Arabidopsis thaliana: one gene and its partner. The protein of the gene in region 1 purifies or fractionates together with the protein of each later gene. This does not show direct contact. Each region holds a gene or a part of one and is shown in the gene's direction. Other genes may lie near its edges. The genes, in order: ACD6 and UBQ8.

What was found.
Region 2: the proteins of ACD6 (region 1) and UBQ8 purify together in Arabidopsis thaliana (affinity purification with western blotting, with the first as the bait; one study listed by BioGRID). This does not show direct contact.

Annotation. Positions count from the first base shown.
Region 1 is NC_003075.7:8,292,100-8,299,750, forward strand, and holds ACD6 (ankyrin repeat family protein), read left to right. Parts: upstream 1-2,065; 5' UTR 2,066-2,438; intron 2,439-2,561; 5' UTR 2,562-2,568; coding exon 2,569-2,644; intron 2,645-4,113; coding exon 4,114-4,863; intron 4,864-4,991; coding exon 4,992-5,524; intron 5,525-5,607; coding exon 5,608-6,261; 3' UTR 6,262-7,096; downstream 7,097-7,651.
Region 2 is NC_003074.8:3,003,105-3,007,814, reverse strand, and holds UBQ8 (ubiquitin 8), read left to right. Parts: upstream 1-1,564; 5' UTR 1,565-1,808; coding exon 1,809-3,704; 3' UTR 3,705-3,953; downstream 3,954-4,710. Other genes in the region: AT3G09800 (SNARE-like superfamily protein), read left to right, coding at 50-209, 321-468, 563-640, 791-875, 1,025-1,084; CCR1 (CRINKLY4 related 1), read left to right, coding at 4,650-4,710. UniProt on the Arabidopsis thaliana protein: Ubiquitin exists either covalently attached to another protein, or free (unanchored).

The DNA of each region.
Region 1 (7,651 bases):
CAAAGGCATTCTTCGTATGAAAAAATCATCAAAAGTTTATTGATGAAAGGAGATTTTTGTTCTCTTTCAAAATAAAAATAAAAAGCTAGATATGATGGTCTCTCTGAGAAGCGGTATCTTGGTAGCTTTAACTGATAGCTCAACTCACTCAATCCGTAGTCATCGAACACCGACTTCACAAGCTTGTCGTGCGTTATTTCCGTATCTATTTGCACAACTCTACACCATTTATCGACGGTGTTAAATACAAATTCTTTACCCAATCGTATCGAGAGAAGGATGAAAGAAGAATGAGGAAGACGGTGATGAATTGGAAATTCCGATGATGTGAAAAACTCATGTGAAGAAGACGAGTTGAAAAAAAAAACGTTTCGTATTTCCTTTGATGATGATGACATGGACTGTTGCATCCGACATCATTTTTTTAATTGATGAAGTGACAAGTAAGCCACCAAACAAACATGAAAATTTGCCTAAATAAATCAGCCAAATAAAGTTATATGTTAGTCGCAACATGAATACTATTACAGTAATTAAAAACGAAAAAACGGCAAGTTACTTCAGCCGTTTAGCAAACAAAATAAAACACACACACATGATTCGATTGCTAACCAACACAAGAAACAAAACAAACACATCTTTGCCTATAAGATAATGTGTATAAACCATACAACTAGTGATGTGACGGAGGACAATGAGAAGACTATTTCATTATGCTGAACCGTCCTTGACGTCTTAGCAGTTAGCACTGTAAAATGGGTTCATATCATAGTAAACGAATCACTCTACACAACAATTACATGCTAAAAACTAAGAAGCTAAGTTACCAAATTCTCTATAGAAATAGCAATCACTTACAATAACCAATGCTACATAACAACTTTTGAGTCCATAACTGATAAATTGATAGAAACTGTTTGAATTTGCAAACCCAAAACCGTTTCTTAGGATGGAGAAATGGGTTTGTATTTTTCTATTTCCGATCAAGGAAAAATATATCAGGCAACAACTGCGGAAGATAGGGCATTTTGGGATGAAGGAGGAAACCATAGTTAACAAGCGGAAACAATTTCAAAGGTTGATTTCAAAGATCATAAAGTCAAAGTCAAATCCCCATAGAGAGACTCGGTTACGGAAGTGTTGGTATCCGAATATCCGATAGTCATAGCCTCAGAACTTATGTTAGAATCAATAGGTTTAACCATGCAGTGTGCACTTTGGAAATCAAGCCAAGAAAAGCTATCCACGCAAACAATTTGCGTTAGAGCGAAATCGGATAAAGAGAAAGAAAATATAGGATTTAAAAATCTTATAGCGAGTAAGACTTATTTGAAACATCGTCAAATTTACTTCTTTTGGTGTATATTTCTCATTATATGGCGTATATATCTGTTTATGTAAGAAATTGTTTCCAAAAATTACTGTATACTGACTTTGTAATCTTGTTTTGATATCAATGAATTTATAAGGAAAAAAATAAAATAAAAATATAAAGTATGATGTACATGTAAAAAAAGTTGTTTCAAGCGTAATTGTTTTTTGGCTAGAGAATGAATATACAGCAACAGTAAACTAATAAACTTGCGATGAACTAAAATTTCTGGTATTCCTACAATCAATGAATCACTAATTTATCTATAAGTTTTAGCTATATCCGCTTAAACCCCGCCTCAACTTGCTCTCTGGTCTGGGTATAGTTGGGCTACAACAGTGAAACCGTAATTAGGAAAGAAATGATAAAAACCCAATCCAGAAGCTTACTGCAAGATAAAGAGAAAGATCATGAAGAGGTAGGAGTGATTCATATAACAAACAGGGTCACGTTGTCACTTTCTCCCAGAAAAATACAAATTTAGACTAACTATATAAGGAGACGACTTCAGAGTCTTCTAATGGGTTAGTATAACTCGGGTCATCTTTTAATCTCTGGCTTTAAAGACATGGTAAGATTCCATATATATGAAAACTCTGTGTGTGGTGGATTGCTTTTTTCATTTAAGGCAAAGATAGGTTTTAAGGCAGAAGACAAGAACGACCTTTGGCTTATTTATAGGAGACCACCACTTTCACTTGAGTCGAGACAGTAACGACATTTAGAATTTGCATTACTCATCTTGTCACTTTCTCCCAGGAAAAAAAAATACAAATTTAGACCAACTATATTAGGAGACGACTTCAAAGTCTTCTAATGAGTTAGTAACTGGGGTCATCTTTTAATCGCCGGCTTTCAAGACATGTACAATTTCATATGAAAACTCTGTGTGTGGTGGATTGCATCCAAGACAGTTTTAAGACAGAAGATAAGAACGGCCTTTGCTTATTTATAGGAGACCACCACTCCTCTCGATAACCATGACTCGAGACATTAACGACTTTTAAAACTAAGGGACGAACCTTAAGCAAAAGCTCTTGCATTACTCAAATTCTTCTGCCACTTGGTAAGTCTTTTTCTCTGCCCCTTCTGCATGCAATGGTTGACTTTTTTGTTTGTGGACGTGGTAGTAACTAGTAAACTTAAATCTGTGTTTTCACTTTTCAAACCATTTGTGTGATTATTTTAGGTTTGCGATGGACAGTTCTGGAGCAGATCTAGATAGAATTGAGGCACAAAGGTCAATGTTAGTTTCTCATGATCAACGGAAAGGTACATGAGTCATAGGGTGGCCACAAATTTTGAATATTCATTACATGTGCTTTATTAACGAGTATAGTGACCCTATATAAATTATTATTGACACCTATGCAAAACCAACCAATCTACATAAAAAAGATAAGGAAAAACTATTCTACTTGATTCTTGTTATAAACTAGGATATAACACTAGGATATAACTAGCAATATACCACATAACAATTATATTGTTTTATAAAAATTTAATAAAATTAGTCTTATTCAACATGTCTTTTATTAACAAAATAATTAATAAAAATATAACCCATATGAATTACCGGTTAATAATATTTTAACTTTTTATTAATATCGATTCAAACCTGTTTCACCATATAACATGTCTCACAATATAACTTGTCCTATATTATTTTAAATTGTTTATATGTTTAAATATATTTATAATATTTTAAACTTTTTAATTGAATTTGGATTTATTAATTATAATATTATAACTTAAAAAATTTACTATATCAGGTAAACTTAAACATTTCAACTATAAAAAAAACCGTATAGAAACTTTGTAAATTTGGATATTTACTAAGTTAAATTTCATGTTCATTAAGATTCGAATTCATTTTTTATCTTATTTTTTTTATGGCTCTGAACGATTGTCTAAATATTTTAGCTGATGTTGGATGTTGAACTCAATTTATTTTCTATTAATTGAGTAATATATGTTCGTTTTAAACAATTGGAATCACAAGAATACAGACAAATTAAACTTTTTATGTCTTATATGATGATTCAAAATAATTAAAAAATAAATCTTAATGATAGGAGAATCATTCTTTTAAATTTTATGATTTTTTTATTTTATAATTGATGTTAAAATCTTTTAATTGTAAAGTTGTTTGGTTATAACTTATAAGTAATGACATTCTTTGTAAATACTAACTGAAAACAAAGTTACTCTCTAAAATGTAATTCAAAAATATTAATATAGATAGTTAAGAACTAATAAATGTCACTATCCAAGATTTATATAATTTAGTAAAAAATCTACATAATTTTTTTTTAACAAAACGCGCAAGTGTTTATGTTCTTTTCTCTTATGAGTCTTCAACTTGACAAATCTCGATTAGTTAAAATTTAGATTAATTTTGAATTGACTATTAGATAAAGATATTTATGATTTCATTAACTTATTATATTCTGATATTTACAAATTTATATTTTAGATTTTTCATAAGTTAATTGATTTCATAGTTAGAACTCACAAATTTTGTCTCATGAAATGTAAGACGAGTGGTTAATTCGATTGATGAAATAAAACAGTAGAAATATTTTGGCAAAAAGAAAACAATCGTAAGTGATACAAAATAGTTAGAAGTGATAAAAATTAGCGATAAGAGAGCTGTAAAACTTTCGATATATCTACATAAGATACTAACTACTATACTAGTAAATAACTATTTTGACCCTGGTAACAAATTGTTTTACCAGATTTCTCTCACAGCGGAGGAGTTGGCACCACGTCACCTACGGGCGACACCGAACCTGTGCCAAAGTTCCGTACTAACCTTAAATTGTCGGATCTTTTCGCTCTCCCTGGTGAAGATGTCGAGATGACTCCGGAGATTTTTGGTGGAATGAGTAATGGGGAAAAAGAATGTCTGGAGAAGTTGAGAAGCAATGGAACGCCAATGGAACGTGTCAAGAGCAATACAGGAGATTCAATTCTTCATATTGCTGCTAAATGGGGTCATCTGGAACTAGTGAAGGAGATTATCTTTGAATGTCCATGCCTTCTATTCGAGCAAAACTCAAGCCGTCAGACACCGCTACATGTGGCTACTCATGGCGGTCATACCAAAGTTGTTGAGGCTCTTGTTGCATCGGTAACATCTGCTTTAGCTAGTCTGAGTACTGAAGAGAGTGAGGGACTGAATCCACATGTTCTTAAGGACGAAGATGGAAATACTGCTCTGTACTACGCCATTGAAGGACGCTATTTGGAGATGGCTACCTGTCTGGTGAACGCGGACAAGGATGCTCCTTTTCTTGGAAATAACAAGGGAATATCTTCCTTGTACGAAGCCGTAGACGCTGGAAATAAATTTGAAGACCTTGTGAAAGCAATTTTGAAAACCACAGACGACAACGTGGACCGTGAAGTGAGGAAGTTTAACTTAGATTCGAAATTACAAGGGAACAAACATCTTGCACATGTTGCTTTGAAGGCCAAAAGTATAGGTTTGTTTTTTGTTTTCTTTAATAATCAGTAACAGCTACGTTTAATCTGTTAAAATTATGTAAAACCAGCTTGGGACGAGAATCTCCTCCCCAAGATGGCTAATTGTTGTTCCCAATTGTTTGAGTAGGTGTCCTTGATGTTATTCTTGATGAATATCCAAGTCTTATGGACGAGCAAGATGAAGATGGTAGGACTTGTCTTTCATACGGAGCATCCATTGGGTATTATAAAGGACTATGCAACATCTTAAACCGATCAACAAAGGGTGTTTATGTCTGCGACCAAGATGGTTCTTTTCCAATTCATTCGGCTGCAAAAAACGAACATTACGAAATTATTAAAGAGTTTATAAAACGTTGTCCAGCTTCAAAATACCTTCTTAACAGACTTGGTCAGAACATTCTCCACGTGGCGGCAAAAAATGAGGCCTCTCTTACTGCATATATGTTGATGCATGATAAAGATACGAAACATCTGGGTGTTGGGCAAGATGTGGACGGGAATACACCTTTGCACCTTGCCGTCATGAACTGGGACTTTGACTCCATTACTTGTCTTGCTAGCCGTAACCACGAGATACTGAAATTACGAAACAAAAGCGGCTTAAGAGCTAGGGATATTGCCGAGTCAGAGGTGAAACCCAACTACATCTTTCATGAGGTATTTCTGATTCCGTTTCATACAACACATTTGATCCCTCATAAATGATTTATAGCTTGACCTCCATATTTTTGGAATTACAGAGGTGGACACTGGCGCTCTTATTATACGCTATTCACTCAAGTGGTTTCGAATCTGTTAAGTCATTAACAATACAGTCAGTGCCACTAGACCCTAAGAAAAACAGACATTACGTCAACGCTCTTCTCGTGGTAGCGGCTCTTGTAGCCACAGTGACGTTTGCTGCAGGCTTTACAATACCAGGTGGTTATATCAGCGATAGCAAAAAACCAAACTTGGGCAGGGCAACTTTGGCCACTAACCCAACTCTCTTCATTTTTCTGCTTTTTGACATCTTGGCAATGCAAAGTTCTGTTGCAACAATATGTACTCTTATTTGGGCGCAGTTGGGTGATCTAGCACTCATCCTCAAATCCTTACATGTGGCCTTGCCCTTACTACTTTTTTCATTACTATGCATGCCCGTAGCATTCCTTTTTGGCGTGATCACTGCAATTGCCCATGTGAAATGGCTTTTAGTCACCATTAGCATTATATCTGGTGGATTCTTCCTTTTCGCAATCTTTATCCTTGGCCCTCACGTCATGCTACAGCGCTCACACCTTCCGCCCAGTTCTGGTATATTTCTCAAGACTTTTATGCTGACTATAGACATATCTGAGTTGTTTGTGATTTTGATCAAAGCTTGTTTTGGTTGTGTGGCGTGTTCCGAATAAATCATCAAAAGTTTATAGATCAAAGGATATTTTTCTTCTCTTTTTTTTTTCTTTCAAAAAGCTACGAGATATGCTGGTCTCTAGCTCTGAGAAGCGGCATCTTGATCATACAACTCATTCGAAGTCCTATCAGAATTATCTGTAGTTGTAATAAAGCGTGAAAAGTATATCATTCGAAGAGATTTTCCTCTAAAATAATCGAGTGATATTTTATTATTCGGTTTAGTGGATACCAGTTTACTAATCTCTCGAATTTATGAACCACATTCAAAGGAGATGAGTTTAACAAAAAAAAAAGGTAAATTGTTTTTTATTCTCGTCGTGCGTTCCACATGAGTCGTTTTCAAGAGCAATATAGACGATACTTCACAAGAATTATTATTTTTGTTGGGGTATAAAAATTTGAAGATACGTTTGGCAACGACAATACGACGTTAGATTGTTCCAAGAGGTGCAAAAACTTAGGGACCCTCTTTATTCGTTCACTGTAACCACTGACCACAACATGACTAGGTAGACTCTTCTTTTTGTCAATGTTGATGTTTATACGATTTTGATGAGACTGGCTCTATCAAGATATGAATCTCTGATCATATCTCCACTAATCTTTCATCTTGTTATTCCCTCATTTACTTTTGATTTCCTTCTCTCTCTCTCTTTTTTATGTATACAAATTTTTCTTTATTTCGCTTCACTAAACCCCACCATGTAATTGTGTGAGTTTTGGCGAAGTGGCGCAACACCGTAGAGCACACCAACACTAACCCAATCCATTTTATGACCGTAAATTTTGTTGTTGATTAGTGTATTTTTTTCTTGTTTAGTTATTCTGAGAAGTAAATTTTTTTTTTACAATTAGTTTTTAAACATAGTAAAATAAATTTATGACAGATTATAATATTATTTTAAAAATCAATAATATCTAACAAATTAAATAAACAAATCACAAATTACTATATTTTAAATAAATATTGATAATTTTAATTATATTATTTTGTTTATTGGTTAACTCGCAGGATATGCGAGTTAATTCATTTGAGATTGTAATCCGCCATATACTAACTCGATAACCCTGACTTTTTAGAAATCTAAAAGTATAACCCTATAATAAAATAGATTATGTCCAACTCGCGGATTCTAAACCTGAATTGACATGGCGGAACCATTCATAAAACCATACCAATTCTTGCGTTTTGGAAAGTTGGTTTCCTTTTCATTTCTTTGAATTTGATCCTAGATTGTGTAGTTCTCAAGCTCATGCTCTTGCTCGTCAAAAACGTATCAACGATTTGCTTTTCCTTTAGACGTTCTTGCATCGGATTGGTTTACTCAACTCCACTCGATGAAAAAGTTACTATCTTAAAAAGAACAAATGCAAATTCAATAAAAT
Region 2 (4,710 bases), on another chromosome or scaffold:
TTTTTTGGACTGGAACTTAATTACTGACTTTCCAATGTACATTGAATAGGATTCTTGTCCTTTGGTAAAGAAGATTCTTCTTCTAGACTCTGAAGGAAAGCGTGTGGCTGTCAAGTATTACTCGGATGACTGGCCAACTAATGCCGCCAAGTTAAGTTTTGAGAAGTATGTATTCTCAAAGACCTCTAAGACCAATGCTCGTACAGAAGGTAAGACTACATAACATTTTTCATCTACACAATTTCTATCATGTTTCCTGACTTCGTGTATGCTTATATACTTATCTCTTTCAAATAGCCATATCGATGTTTTATGTGCAGCTGAGATCACACTGTTGGACAGCAATATTATTGTCTATAAGTTTGCCCAGGACCTTCACTTCTTTGTTACTGGAGGTGAAAATGAAAACGAGCTCATCTTAGCTTCTGTTCTTCAAGGCTTTTTTGATGCTGTTGCACTTCTTCTGAGGTATTTGTTTGACTTGACAACTGAATATGCCTTTATTTATTGATCAACCATCTCCACAACTAAAGTATGATGCATCCCTTTTTTTTTTTACCAGGAGCAATGTGGAAAAGATGGAAGCCCTTGAGAACTTGGATCTCATCTTTCTATGCCTTGATGAAATGGTCGATCAAGGGTATGCAAGTTTAATAGTTTAGCCCTACACGACAATTACATAAAAGTCTTAAGCATGCTAAAGATTTGCTCAACCTTTTTTAAGCTTGTCCCATATATCTTAGCAGTTAGCTATTGTCTGATTGTGGCTTATTATGGAATATGTGTTAAGGGTGGTTCTTGAAACGGATCCAAACGTCATTGCGGGGAAAGTAGCAATGCAGAGCACAGAAGCTAGTGGTTCACTCTCTGAACAGGTAACGACACTTTTGACTATTATTGTTACATCTCCCTGTGGAAAAGCAATAGTCTTGATTTAGTTTTGCTATAACTTTGGTCTGGTTTGGCTATAAACACAAACGTGAACTTCTAATTTGAACCCTCTGTTTACATTTCGGTATTGCAGACACTAACACAAGCGCTAGCAACAGCTCGGGAGCATCTGGCAAGAAGTCTGCTTACATGAGTTCCATCATGGCGACACAATAATAGAAGCATGGACTTCAATTTCTATGTTGAGCAACTTTTTATTTTTGAGTCTTTCGGTTTGAAAGTCTCTAATAATTGAATTCTGCAAACAAACTCTTAAAGTTTGGTAGTAAAGGTTTGATTATATATATAGCTTTGTGCAATGCATGAATGTTTTTGGAGAGTGGAATTTTATTACTCTAATTGAAGTCTAAACTCTAAGCAATTCAGGAATATTTCATTTTCCAAGCGATTTCAGATGCTAGTGATCTTGTAAGGTGAAGAAAGACTAAAGTGCCACCCCTCAGAACCTTCTATTTTGAGGTGCACGCCATATCAGAAGAGCAAGAATTGTTTTGGTTCGTATTTTATAAAAATAATCAAAGCAAGAATTGTTTTGGTTCGCATTTTATAAAAAAATCAAAGCGATAAACAAGATAATACTAAATTTCGAATTATTTAATTAACAGATTAAGTCGAATATTTTATAATTATCGAAAGCTGATTTAAATCCAAAACTTTTCCTCTTCTATATAAACTGAGAAACGCTTTTACTCAAACCCTAAATCGATCGTTCTGCAAAAGTTTTCTGTGAAGTACTACTACTCTCTCTCAAGGTATTTGTTTCTTCTATCTCTTCTCATCATCTTTTTTCGCCTGATCTTTTTGGTTCTTACCATTCAGAATCCTCCTTTCTCTCCCATAAAAAAAATTGTTTACAGATGACAATTCAAATCTACGCAAAGACTCTTACAGAAAAGACCATAACACTTGATGTTGAAACCTCCGACTCCATTCATAATGTCAAGGCTAAGATCCAGAACAAGGAAGGCATTCCTTTAGACCAGCAACGACTTATCTTTGCTGGTAAACAGCTCGAGGATGGCCTTACCTTGGCTGATTACAACATCCAGAAAGAGTCAACTCTCCACTTGGTTCTGAGGTTGAGAGGTGGTATGCAAATCTTTGTGCAGACTCTTACGGGAAAGACCATAACCCTTGAGGTCAAAAGCTCAGACACTATCGATAACGTCAAGGCCAAGATCCAAGATAAAGAAGGAATCCTTCCTCGCCAGCAGAGACTTATCTTTGCAGGTAAGCAACTCGAGGATGGTCGTACTCTTGCCGATTACAACATCCAGAAAGAGTCAACACTGCATCTTGTCCTTCGTCTTTGCGGTGGTATGCAGATATTTGTGAGTACCTTTTCCGGTAAAAACTTTACCAGTGACACCCTCACCCTAAAAGTTGAGAGCTCAGACACCATTGAAAATGTCAAGGCGAAGATTCAAGACAGGGAAGGTTTACGCCCGGACCACCAGAGGCTTATCTTTCACGGTGAAGAGCTCTTCACCGAGGATAATCGTACTCTTGCGGATTACGGCATCCGGAATAGGTCAACCCTTTGCCTTGCCCTTCGTCTTCGCGGTGATATGTATATATTTGTGAAAAACCTTCCTTATAATTCCTTTACCGGTGAAAACTTCATCCTAGAAGTTGAGAGCTCAGACACCATTGACAATGTTAAAGCTAAGCTCCAAGACAAGGAAAGAATTCCTATGGACCTACATAGACTTATCTTTGCTGGTAAACCGCTTGAGGGTGGTCGAACCCTAGCACATTACAACATCCAGAAAGGATCAACTCTGTATCTGGTGACTAGATTCCGTTGTGGGATGCAGATTTTCGTCAAGACCCTTACCAGAAAGAGAATAAATTTGGAAGTTGAGAGCTGGGACACAATCGAAAATGTAAAGGCCATGGTTCAGGATAAAGAAGGGATCCAACCACAACCAAACCTGCAGAGGCTGATCTTTCTTGGTAAAGAGCTCAAGGATGGTTGTACTCTTGCGGATTACAGCATCCAGAAAGAGTCAACACTTCACCTTGTCCTTGGTATGCAGATATTTGTGAAACTCTTTGGCGGTAAAATCATTACCCTAGAAGTTTTGAGCTCAGACACCATTAAAAGTGTTAAAGCTAAGATTCAAGACAAGGTAGGTTCACCCCCGGACCAGCAGATACTGCTTTTTCGCGGTGGCCAACTCCAGGATGGCCGTACTCTTGGGGATTACAACATCCGGAATGAGTCAACCCTTCACCTTTTCTTTCATATTCGCCATGGTATGCAGATATTCGTCAAGACATTTTCATTTTCCGGTGAAACCCCTACCTGTAAAACCATTACTCTAGAAGTTGAGAGCTCAGACACCATTGATAATGTAAAAGTTAAGATCCAACACAAGGTAGGAATTCCTCTGGACAGACAGAGACTTATCTTTGGTGGTAGAGTGCTTGTGGGTAGTCGAACGCTACTAGATTACAACATCCAGAAAGGATCAACTATCCATCAGCTATTTCTTCAGAGAGGTGGTATGCAGATTTTTATCAAGACTCTTACCGGAAAAACCATAATTTTGGAAGTTGAAAGCTCAGACACGATCGCCAATGTAAAGGAAAAGATCCAAGTTAAGGAAGGAATCAAACCAGACCAACAGATGCTAATATTTTTCGGACAACAGCTTGAAGATGGCGTCACTTTAGGGGATTACGATATTCATAAAAAGTCAACTCTTTACCTTGTTCTCCGTCTCCGTCAGCGTCGATATGACTTTTGAGTTTTTTTTAGCGCTTTGGTTTGTTTTTTTCTCTCGTTATGTTTTACGTTTTGATGGGCTCATAAATGGTCTTTTACCATTCAACTTTAAAGTCTTATCAATAATAATTTTCTTATTTTTTTATTCCGCAGTGTAAATCTCAATTACCATCGGATTAATCCTGATAATGCACAATATTGTTATCGAAGAAGCAAGAGCTAATGTTTAATTCATTTAGTCGGCTAGTTCTTTTTTTTCTTTTAGTTGGCTAGTTCTTAGTATTACAAACTCTTGGATAAAGTTTATAGTATACACCCAAACACATTTAAGAAGCAAATTATTGAAGTAAAACATTTTAAGATTAGAAAAAGGATCTAACATTGCGTTTATAGCACCGATGCATGTTTTTTGGAATTATATGCACCAAAAACGCCGAACTTATAACCCCACACATCATTTCCTCAATAATTTAAAATTTCATGAAAAATTATGAATTATTGACTCCTATCTTACTTCTATTTTGTTACCTACTATATTATCCATTTCATATATGTTGACAAGTTGACAATGACGGTGAGCTCCACAACAACCAAACAAAAAAGTTTTTCTTTTGTTTTAAAGCTCCAAAAAACTGACATGAAATCACTGGGATTAGATCTTATTGTCTCCCATTAAGGCAAATTTCATTAGATTTTCCCTTTTTGGAAATAATTTTCTTTTCGATTTATCAACTATAGTATATACCTTTTTTTACCCCCAAAAACCCAGGGATTATATATACGTAAATTATTTACATGCATGAATATGAATAGATACAGTAAATTAGTTGTTCAATAAAATATTTAAACTTTTTGCTCTCATCTCCAATGAGGACGCCACCCACGTTCTCTGTTCGTTAGCCATCACACTGTCAAATGGCAGCTTGTGTCAATCTTCTTCTTTCACAGTTCATGAACTTCACCTCCAATGGAAACCCGTTGCTCTCTCCTCTTTCTCTCTCTCATTCTCCTGTATTTGCCCAAACCCG